Arabidopsis thaliana: one gene and its partner. The protein of the gene in region 2 interacts with the protein of the main gene of each other region in a pairwise test. Each region holds a gene or a part of one and is shown on either strand. Other genes may lie near its edges.

The links.
Region 1: the proteins of ATCHX8 (region 2) and AT5G16590 interact in a protein complementation assay, tested with the Arabidopsis thaliana proteins (one large-scale study listed by BioGRID).

Annotation. Positions count from the first base shown.
Region 1 is NC_003076.8:5,429,702-5,434,767, reverse strand, and holds AT5G16590 (Leucine-rich repeat protein kinase family protein), read right to left. Parts: upstream 3,185-5,066; 5' UTR 2,907-3,184; coding exon 1,622-2,906; intron 1,533-1,621; coding exon 1,215-1,532; intron 1,122-1,214; coding exon 847-1,121; 3' UTR 582-846; downstream 1-581. UniProt on the Arabidopsis thaliana protein: Might be involved in early recognition of growth promoting fungi. Appears to be specific for P.indica.
Region 2 is NC_003071.7:12,010,437-12,015,621, reverse strand, and holds ATCHX8 (cation/hydrogen exchanger family protein), read left to right. Parts: upstream 1-1,882; coding exon 1,883-2,179; intron 2,180-2,264; coding exon 2,265-3,281; intron 3,282-3,390; coding exon 3,391-4,056; intron 4,057-4,157; coding exon 4,158-4,628; downstream 4,629-5,185. Other genes in the region: CSD2 (copper/zinc superoxide dismutase 2), read right to left, coding at 13-108, 201-240, 328-389, 810-1,074. UniProt on the Arabidopsis thaliana protein: May operate as a cation/H(+) antiporter.

The DNA of each region.
Region 1 (5,066 bases), on a different chromosome or scaffold from region 2:
TAGATATGTTCTAAGTTATACATGAATGATGCACTCAACTAATTCTTTCACACATTAAGTCCGTAAATGATTTTCCGAAACCCTCTGCATATGTCTTGATCAATACAATTTATAAAGATAGTATATCTTTCTTTCTTTTTTTATTCTTAAAGAGAGTCGCTTGAAATTTACTTTAACGATTAAAGGAAAAATGAAGAAACTTTTGTTTTGATGGCTTCACCAAATTATCTGAATTTGAATTTGAAAGGTGGGGACTAACTTGACAGATTCAACTTAGAAACTTTAAATAGACCCGTTACCTAAAATTATATTTACTCCATGGAGTTTGTAATAAGTATTTAGATACTTAGTCTTAGTCACTAATACAAATAAAACTTGAAATTGAGGAAAGACAGAAAATATGTGTCGTTGACATGCATTTTATGATTGGTCGGAGAGAAGAATCAGACACAATATATCAACAAAATTTGTTTGACAACTTTTTATAATTTACCAACATATAATAATCAGGCTCCTTCTTTTTTGTTTCTGCCGTTTTATTTGCTAGTTCGTTAGAAAGAAAGAGTCAATAGTGGATAAGTTTCATGAAATAAAGTTAAAGTTACTATATTCAAATTGATGGGCCGACCAATAGAAAAGGAGAGATATAATTTGTTTCACACTCAATCAATTTGTATATAAAAAATTTCACTAAAAAAATTAAGAAACACAAAAAAAAAAAAAAAAACTTCAACGTAGATCTCTCAACTGACTTAAAGACCAAACTATATAAAGAAATTCAAATTTAGACCAAACAATTTTGAAATGATCAATTTAGACCCCATATATTGAAAAAGAAAAATACAATCAATCGGACAAAGGACCTGGTGAAGCAGGTGAACGAGAAACCTCCTCGATGAGTCTTGTGACTTCAGGCATTGTAGGACGACTATCTGGATACTGAGTCGTACAACTTATACCGATGTTTAAAAGCCTGATCATGTTCTCATTGCTGTCCGATTGATACCTTGTGAGCTCTGGATCAAACACATCTGATGGTGATTGTTGTTCAGTGATCGATGAAACCCATCTCGGTAAATCTACTCCTTCTTCGTGTAACTGCTGATGCGTTGGAGATTTCCCTGCAAATCAATACAAAAACCAATATATGAATCAACATTTTGACCAAAAATACGGTTTTCAAGATCTCTCTGTTTTTGTGTGTGTTGTTGTACCTGTGAGTAATTCAAGAATGAGAACACCGAAGCTGTAAACATCAGCCTTTTGGGAGATTTTACGAGCATCGGTTACTTCAGGAGCTCGGTAACCATCAATGCGGTTAGGTGTAGAAGTAGGGCTGATCATAGGTGCAAGACAGTAGTCAGAGACCTTAGCTTCAAAGGATTCTGACAATAGAATGTTAGATGATTTAATGTTGCCATGAGATGTTGTCGCGTCACGCGAATGGAGGTAGCTAATTGCTCTTGCGGCTCCTAATGCTATATTGGCTCTCGTTTCCCAATTCAATGGACTTCTGCCACTTCCTTTGTTCCCTACGAATTCATTCCAAAAAATTGGTTTTAAAAAATCTGTAATCACTACTAAAGAATCAAACAATAAACAGAGTTATTTATTTTGTTACCGTGTAACAGCGCAGACAAGCTTCCTCTAGACATGTATTCGAAAACAACGAGCTTTTCGTCGCGGCTGAAGTAATATGCAATCAATGTCACAAGATTGGCATGGCTTATGGATCCAAGAACCTGCAATTTCTCTCTGAACTCTTTCTCAGGAACCACGACATCTCTCAATCGTTTCACAGCCACCACTAATCCGTGATCGAAACTGGCCTTGTACGAAGATCCGAACGTTCCTTTACCAAGTACTTCCGCAGAAGCTTTCAGCAATCCATCAAGATCAAACTCGCCGAAAGATTTCACGAAAAATGTCAGATCTTTACTCACTGCAGCAGGGTTCTTTGATACACCATTTTCAGATGCACCATTAGCCACCACCGCAGGAGGACCATTCGATTCCTTAGCCACGGCTGCTGATGAGGTCGGAACAGGAGCTGCTTCGATGCTTCTCGATTGGACGACTTGCTCTTTCTTCTTCTTTCTACAGAGACAGAACACGATCAAGAAAAGCACGAGAAGCAAGACGAAACAGCCGATCACTATTCCGACAATAGCTCCGGCAGATAACTTGTCGCTTTTCCCTTTTCCTCCAGGCGTCACAGTACCGTTTCCAGTGCCATTGACAGGGCAAGCATCTAACGGCTTCCCACAGAGCAAATTGCCTAAAAAGGCGGTTTTGGGCATACCCGACAACGGATCCGGAATCGACCCGTTTAACTGATTGGATGAGACATTAAACTGTTGAAGCTTAATCTTAATCTCCGGGATTGGACCGGTGAGTTGATTATCCTGCAAGTAAAGAGTAGCTAACCGGGTTGCAGAATTGACATTATCCGGGATCCGACCCAAGAAATTATTCTGGGCGAGATTGATCCGAATAATGTTTGGTAGAGTGAAGAGAAACGAAGGAATCTCGCCGGAAAATGCGTTTCCTTGAAGATACAAGTAACGGAGAAGAGTTAGGTTTGCGAAATCCGGCGGGAGAGGACCGTTAAGAGCATTGAATCGGAATGATAAAGTTTCGAGCTTTGTAAGGTTTCCGATGGCGATTGGTAATGGACCCGATAAACCCACACCGGGTAATCGGAGTGCTGTGACACGACCCGACTCACATTGGACTCCTCCCCAAGTACACGGTGGTGCTGTTAGATTCCACAGCAATGGACGCCCATGAACACCGTCACGAAGTGCGATTAGAGCTCGTCGATCAGCTTCTAGATCTGATGTCACGGAAACGAGACATATAAAGAAGAAGAAGACTGAGAGACCTAAATTGGTCTTGTTCTTCATCTTCTTCTTACCCAAAGCTTAATCCTTTACAACAGTGAACGCCTCTCTCTCTCTCTCTGACTCGGAGATTGGTTTTTCCGAGATTTCCGACTACGTGTAGAACAGTGTTTGGAAAGAGAAAATGTCGGAAGAAAATCTTCTCACAGAAATTTCAGCTCTCTCTATCTGTCTCGACGGCTATGGGGAGATGATGAAGGAGGAGAGAGAGAGAGGCTATTAATTGCAGACTGCAGTGAATGGAAAGAAAAAGTTAATTGTTCAATTTTTTACCTTTTTAGTTTTTACAGTGAGATACAGAATCTTTTATTAATTTATTTAAATATTCCGTGCGATTATTTTTACAGCAAGAAGAAATGAGTTTGCTGTATATTCTTACATCTTTTTATTATTGTGTAATTTAGCATTTTCAGTAACAAATCATATGATTTACATATTTAAATGCTTTTGTTTCCATTTATGAAGGAATCTGGAGAGATTTGTAAGAAGTGTTATAAACATTACATAAGTAGATAAAAGATAATAATAAATACTTAATTAAAAGATACTTTAATGTGAAAATTAAACAAATACTATCCGTTTTTTTATTTTTAATGAATAATTTAAATTGTTTAGTTATGGTTTTATTATGTACGATGGAAACATGCAACTCTTGGGAAAGTATGTTATATTATTGAACGTCTCCTAAAAATGTCTGACTTAATAATACTGAACCACTACTAATTTAAATTCCTTTCGGATATGTGGAACATATTTACGTGTTAACTTTTTTTACAATATGAAATTCTTAGCTTTGTGTCTATCTAAGTCATCGGCAGAAAAAAAATGTGTTTGTACATATATAGAATAGGATTTGAGTAGTTTCAAAATTTTACTTCCTCTAAAAGTAAGAATATATTCTGTATTAAAATGGAATAACTCATATCGAAAATTTTTGGGAAGAAAATATACAAATTAGATTACCTCATTAGTATTTTAGTACTGAAGACATGATATTAAAGTAAAACAATTAGGATTTTGATGAGACCAACGTTTTTATTTCGGCCCAAACTATAATTGATATTCAGTTAAGAGTACATTGTAGAAAGTAAGCCCATTATTATTATTGATTACGGCCCATAAAATAGGCTTATACAAGAATGGGTTCTTAAATCAAACTATATATTTGAAGCCCCTTTTATTTCATGGGACAACAATATCAGTCTACTCTACTACTACTAGCATTTTTCTTTATTTGACGAAAGAGTATAGTACTTAACTAGCATAAATTGACGTTACCAAGTTTTTAAATGGTTCTTCTTATGTCATGCAAAAAACAATTTCGTAATGTATGCTTTTTTCCCACTTTCCATTCATATAATGATAAAATTTTATGAATTCATATTTTCCGTGTGAGCATTGTTCTGTGATGTTACTTTGCGTTTGCGTATTACCAATCATATTACACAATATCCCGTCGGTCCAACTTGTTATTACAATTACAAAACATACAAGTTGGGACTATATGATAAGAAATTAAGAAGATTAGGACTCTCCCACCAATGAAAATAAAGAGCTTTCGAAATTTTACAACAAGAAAGGCAAAAATAGTGACATATATACAAAATAGCCCAGAGTCACGGGAACATAATGACCCACCAAACAATTGTAATAATTGGCTGTTATCACAAACTTAATATTGTAGTACCTATCAAAATTCTAATTGGGTGGTGCGAATACAATAATAGCTCACAGACAGTTATGATATTTGGTTTAGTTCAAATTTTTTTTCGTTAAAGTATTATAAGATTCAAAGCTTTTTAGTCCTACTATATTATTTGGGAAATACATTTTAAATATAATCTTAATTTTTGTAAGTAATTACATAGGTATGCCATTAGAAATAAAATTTTAAAGAGTAAATTAATGTATCTCTTTAAGGATTAAAAAGTCAAATACTAATTTAATTAATTAAATTTAATTTAAAAACGAAATATATTATTAATTTTCAAAAATAATAACCAATCAAAATCAACATATAAGATTTGATATCTAAATTTTAATTAATTTGATTTAATTAGAAAAATGAAATACATTATTAATTTCCAAAAAAGTAACCAATTAAAATCAACAAATTAGATTTGATATCTAAATTATTGTATTAATTTTTTATTAATTTTTTAT
Region 2 (5,185 bases):
GATGTAAAATACCATCGGCATTGGCATTTATGTTTCCCAGGTCACCCGCATGACGGCACTCATCTTCTGGAGCTCCGTGTGTCATGTTGTTAGGGTTGAAATGTGGTCCTACAAGAATATAAGACAAGATATCGTCTTAGAATTTGGCAAATCATGACATCAGTATCAAAAGAATCTGCCACAGGGGTTTTGCTATTAACCTGTTGAGATACATCCATTAGTTGTATCACCAAACTCATGCTGCAAAATCAAACAGAGGACATAATTACACCATTATAGCTATAAGAAGAACAGATGATTCATTCTTCCGAGGAGGAACAAGCTTACGAGATGAAATCCATGAGGCCCTGGAGTGAGACCAGTGATACGAACATTCACAGTTGTAGGACCTGCTTGCCATAAACACAACCATATTCACTTAGAACAATCTACATAGTCAAAAATTAGCAAGAAACCATATAGGGTTACTTTGTAAACTTTCACAGAACCATTGAATCAGCAAGAATATGCAAAACACTCTTAAAGCTAATCCCTTTCTTTATCAGCTTATCTTAAGTTATTCATAGCAGTGAGAACCAAACACTAACAAATGTAACTCAACAGATTAAACAGAAAAAGTCTGAAACTTTGAAGAAACCGAAAATCAGATATGAAGCAGATTAAACAGAAAAAGTCTGAGACTTTGAAGATATTGAAAGTCAGATACGAAGCAGATTGAACACTGAGAGTGACCTAATCATGCCCATCAAATCAATCTTCAGAAACCCAGATGAGAAATTAGAGATTTTGAGCAATTGAGAGAGACGGACCTGAGTCATCTTGGGTCAAAGTAACAACTCCTTCGACATCAGAAGTACCTTTAAGCACTGCAACAGCCTTCTTCGCCGCGGAAACAACTGTCAACGCTTTCGACGGAGCTTTAACGGCGAAGGAAACAGATTGGAGACGGTGGAGATTGTTGTTGTTGAGAGAGACGCCGCGGAAAGAGGAACGGAGAGTTGAAGGATTGGAGGAAGGAGGAATGAGAAGACGAGAAGGAGATGAGAATGCGAGGATTGTGTTGGTGGCAGCCATGGCTGCTGCTATGTTTGACGTTTGGAGGAAATGAGTAGGCACAAATACTTGTGTGAGATTGAAAGATGAGGTTTTTATTGGTGTCACTGGTTTCTCAAATTCGGCCCACACATACACAATTTTTTTTTTTTTTTTTGAGTGCTTCTTTACCATTTTTCCAACTTTAGGACTTAAAATTTGATTAATTTCTACACTTTATTAGACTTTTTTTCTTCACTTTATTGCTACTTTTGATTGGCAAATTAGTTCTTAAAAAAATATAAGTATATGTTATTATCTTATGCGAAAATGTTAAACTTGCCAATATATTTTGACCAATTTAGTGACAAACTTGGCATGAAACTATCTAGAAATAGTTTCCTATCTTATGTGTGACCAAAGCTGTTTTCATTCATAGAAAGACAGTCATCTTATTTAAAGAAATTCCTTTTTTTCTGGTAGATTCTTAGTTGACTTCTTTCTGTGGTTTATAACTTATAAGAAGCTGAAGACATATACTATTTATAGTGGAGAAACAACTCAAAAAGGGTCTAAAACTACATATGTCTATAGATGTCCAAAGTGTGTTTTTTAAAAACAGCATAACCTATAAACAGCATATACATCTGTGTGTCATTTGTTTACAAATTGTTTCTTTGTTATCAAAAGGAACACAACATTTATTTTGTTATCGTCTTCCCCATTTTGACAAGAACTCACTTAAGATTTTGAAGTCATGGAAATGGGGAACGGGACAGGACCCGGGATGTCGGGGGCTTTTAGTGGAGGCGGCAACGAGATTTTGGGAATGGGAGGTGGCGGCGGCATAATGGGAGGCGGTGATATTTCACATATGAGTCCTGAAGTAAAATGGATATTTGAGATGGCTTGGTATGGTGAAACTGTAAGATATGATGGGTTAATTTGTGAGGAGCATCCCCCTAAGCTCTCTTCAGATGGTATTTGGGAGAAACTTATTATTAAATCGGCAGGTCTATATTTTTGGCAATATCGTCTTCCGAAGCTCGAGATTGTCATCTTGCTCGTCTTCTTTCTTTGGCAAGGCTTTAATATCTTGTTTAAGAAATTGGGTCTTTCTATTCCCAAGTTATCCTCTATGATGCTTGTGAGCTCTTCTTCTTCTTGTTTGTCTTTTTTTTTTCTTCAAAACTTGTGTGTTTGCTGCTGAGAAAATCGATGTTGCATTGCAGGCAGGGCTACTCTTGAATGTTCTAGTTACTTTATCGGGAGAGAACTCGATCATTGCGGATATCTTGGTCACGAAAAACAGAATCGACGTAGCAGGATGCCTTGGATCATTTGGATTCTTGATTTTCTGGTTCCTCAAAGGTGTAAGAATGGACGTCAAGAGAATCTTCAAGGCTGAAGCAAAAGCAAGAGTCACTGGAGTTGCAGCGGTTACTTTCCCTATAGTTGTTGGCTTCTTGCTTTTCAATCTCAAATCAGCTAAGAATCGACCTCTCACTTTCCAAGAGTATGATGTAATGCTACTAATGGAAAGCATCACGTCCTTCTCGGGGATCGCAAGACTCTTGCGTGACCTTGGCATGAACCATTCATCTATTGGCCGGGTTGCTTTATCCTCAGCCTTAGTCTCTGATATAGTTGGACTCCTGCTCTTGATTGCGAACGTTTCTAGAAGTTCAGCAACTTTAGCTGATGGTTTGGCTATACTTACAGAGATAACCTTATTCCTCGTCATTGCATTTGCGGTTGTGAGGCCGATAATGTTCAAAATAATAAAGCGGAAAGGAGAAGGAAGACCAATCGAAGACAAATACATCCACGGGGTTCTCGTCTTGGTTTGCTTATCTTGTATGTATTGGGAAGATCTTAGCCAGTTTCCTCCACTTGGAGCCTTCTTTCTTGGTCTCGCCATTCCCAATGGACCTCCTATTGGATCTGCATTGGTCGAACGATTAGAAAGCTTCAATTTTGGTATCATATTACCTCTTTTCTTAACAGCCGTTATGCTCAGGACTGATACCACTGCTTGGAAAGGCGCTTTGACATTCTTTAGTGGCGATGATAAGAAATTTGCGGTTGCGTCTCTCGTCTTGCTCATTTTCTTGTTGAAGCTCTCTGTCTCAGTCATTGTTCCTTACCTCTATAAAATGCCGTTGAGAGACTCTATTATCCTTGCCCTAATAATGTCTCATAAGGGTATTATCGAACTCAGCTTCTACCTTTTCTCTCTAAGCCTCAAGGTTAGTTTTCTCATATTTTGATTCTTGATCATGATTATGATTTCTTGCCAAAAACAAAAAGTTGAAAAGATTCATTGTTTTGATTCTTTTGATTGATGATTTGGTACAGTTGGTAACCAAAGATACATTCTCAATTCTAGTCTTGTCCATTGTCCTCAACTCTCTGCTCATACCAATGGCGATCGGGTTTCTCTACGACCCATCTAAACAATTCATATGCTACCAAAAGAGAAATTTAGCGAGTATGAAGAACATGGGAGAGCTAAAGACTCTTGTGTGCATCCATAGACCAGACCACATATCTTCCATGATCAACCTTCTTGAAGCTTCTTATCAATCCGAAGACAGTCCTCTCACTTGCTACGTCCTTCACCTCGTCGAGTTACGAGGTCAAGACGTTCCCACTTTGATCTCACACAAAGTTCAGAAACTCGGAGTCGGGGCTGGAAATAAATATTCCGAAAATGTCATCCTCTCTTTTGAACATTTCCACCGTTCTGTCTGCAGTTCCATTTCCATAGACACATTCACTTGCATCGCAAACGCAAACCATATGCAGGATGACATTTGTTGGCTAGCTCTTGATAAAGCTGTCACGCTTATCATTCTTCCTTTTCACCGGACTTGGTCACTTGACCGAACATCCATCGTATCCGACGTTGAGGCGATCCGATTTCTGAATGTCAACGTCTTGAAACAAGCACCTTGCTCTGTCGGCATTCTTATCGAACGCCATCTCGTTAACAAGAAGCAAGAACCACATGAAAGCCTTAAGGTATACTTACAATTACATCTACTATGCTTCCATGTTGGTCGTTGTAGATGCTTTAACTATATATATAGAAAAACTAAGCACACTAAGCTATTTGATGATAGGTGTGTGTAATATTCGTGGGAGGAAAAGACGATAGGGAAGCTTTGGCCTTTGCGAAGCGAATGGCCCGTCAAGAGAACGTAACATTAACAGTTCTACGCCTCCTAGCATCAGGAAAGAGCAAAGACGCGACAGGATGGGATCAAATGCTTGACACGGTGGAACTAAGAGAGTTGATTAAAAGCAACAATGCCGGAATGGTAAAAGAAGAAACATCAACAATTTATTTGGAACAAGAGATATTGGATGGAGCGGATACGTCAATGCTTCTACGTTCCATGGCTTTCGATTACGATCTTTTCGTCGTGGGAAGAACATGCGGCGAGAACCACGAGGCAACCAAAGGTATAGAGAATTGGTGTGAGTTTGAGGAGCTTGGAGTCATTGGTGATTTCTTGGCCTCGCCGGATTTTCCGAGTAAAACATCGGTGTTAGTAGTGCAACAACAACGAACGGTAGCCAATAATAATTAGAAGCGGAGAAAGCATACTATGGTTGTGGTTGTTGTTACATCTATCTCTCCTTTGTGTAGCATCTACAAAAAGAAGTTTGAAAAGAAGAAAAAAAATGTATGACCACATTTTATTTGTTTTTTTCATTGCTACTTGTGGAATATTGTTTTTTGTAGAGCAGAAAGAAAGACTTTGAAGAATGTTTTAATCCTTAAATTTTCCTATCCGAATAGTCTCCTAGGGTGAATAATTATAAGAACGAAAAATAGTTTATTTACTAGAATAATTGAAAATTTCTTATTAGTTACTAGAAATAGTTTCATACTTAGTTTACTTTTTGAAGCTTTCTTACGAAAATTAGAGTTCGTAATCAAAAGGATCTAGTGGTTGAGGGCTCGCTTTGTTAGTCAACCTTACAGTTTTTGGCTATTTTTGATCACTTTTTTGTCCAAATTCCATTTGCGAATTGCGACCACTGATTTTTTTTTTTTACACTTTCATATAAGGCAAGTAACACGTCTAGTATGTTAAATAAGCTTTTAAAACTTTTTTTAATTGTTTTTTTACTAAGAAAAACA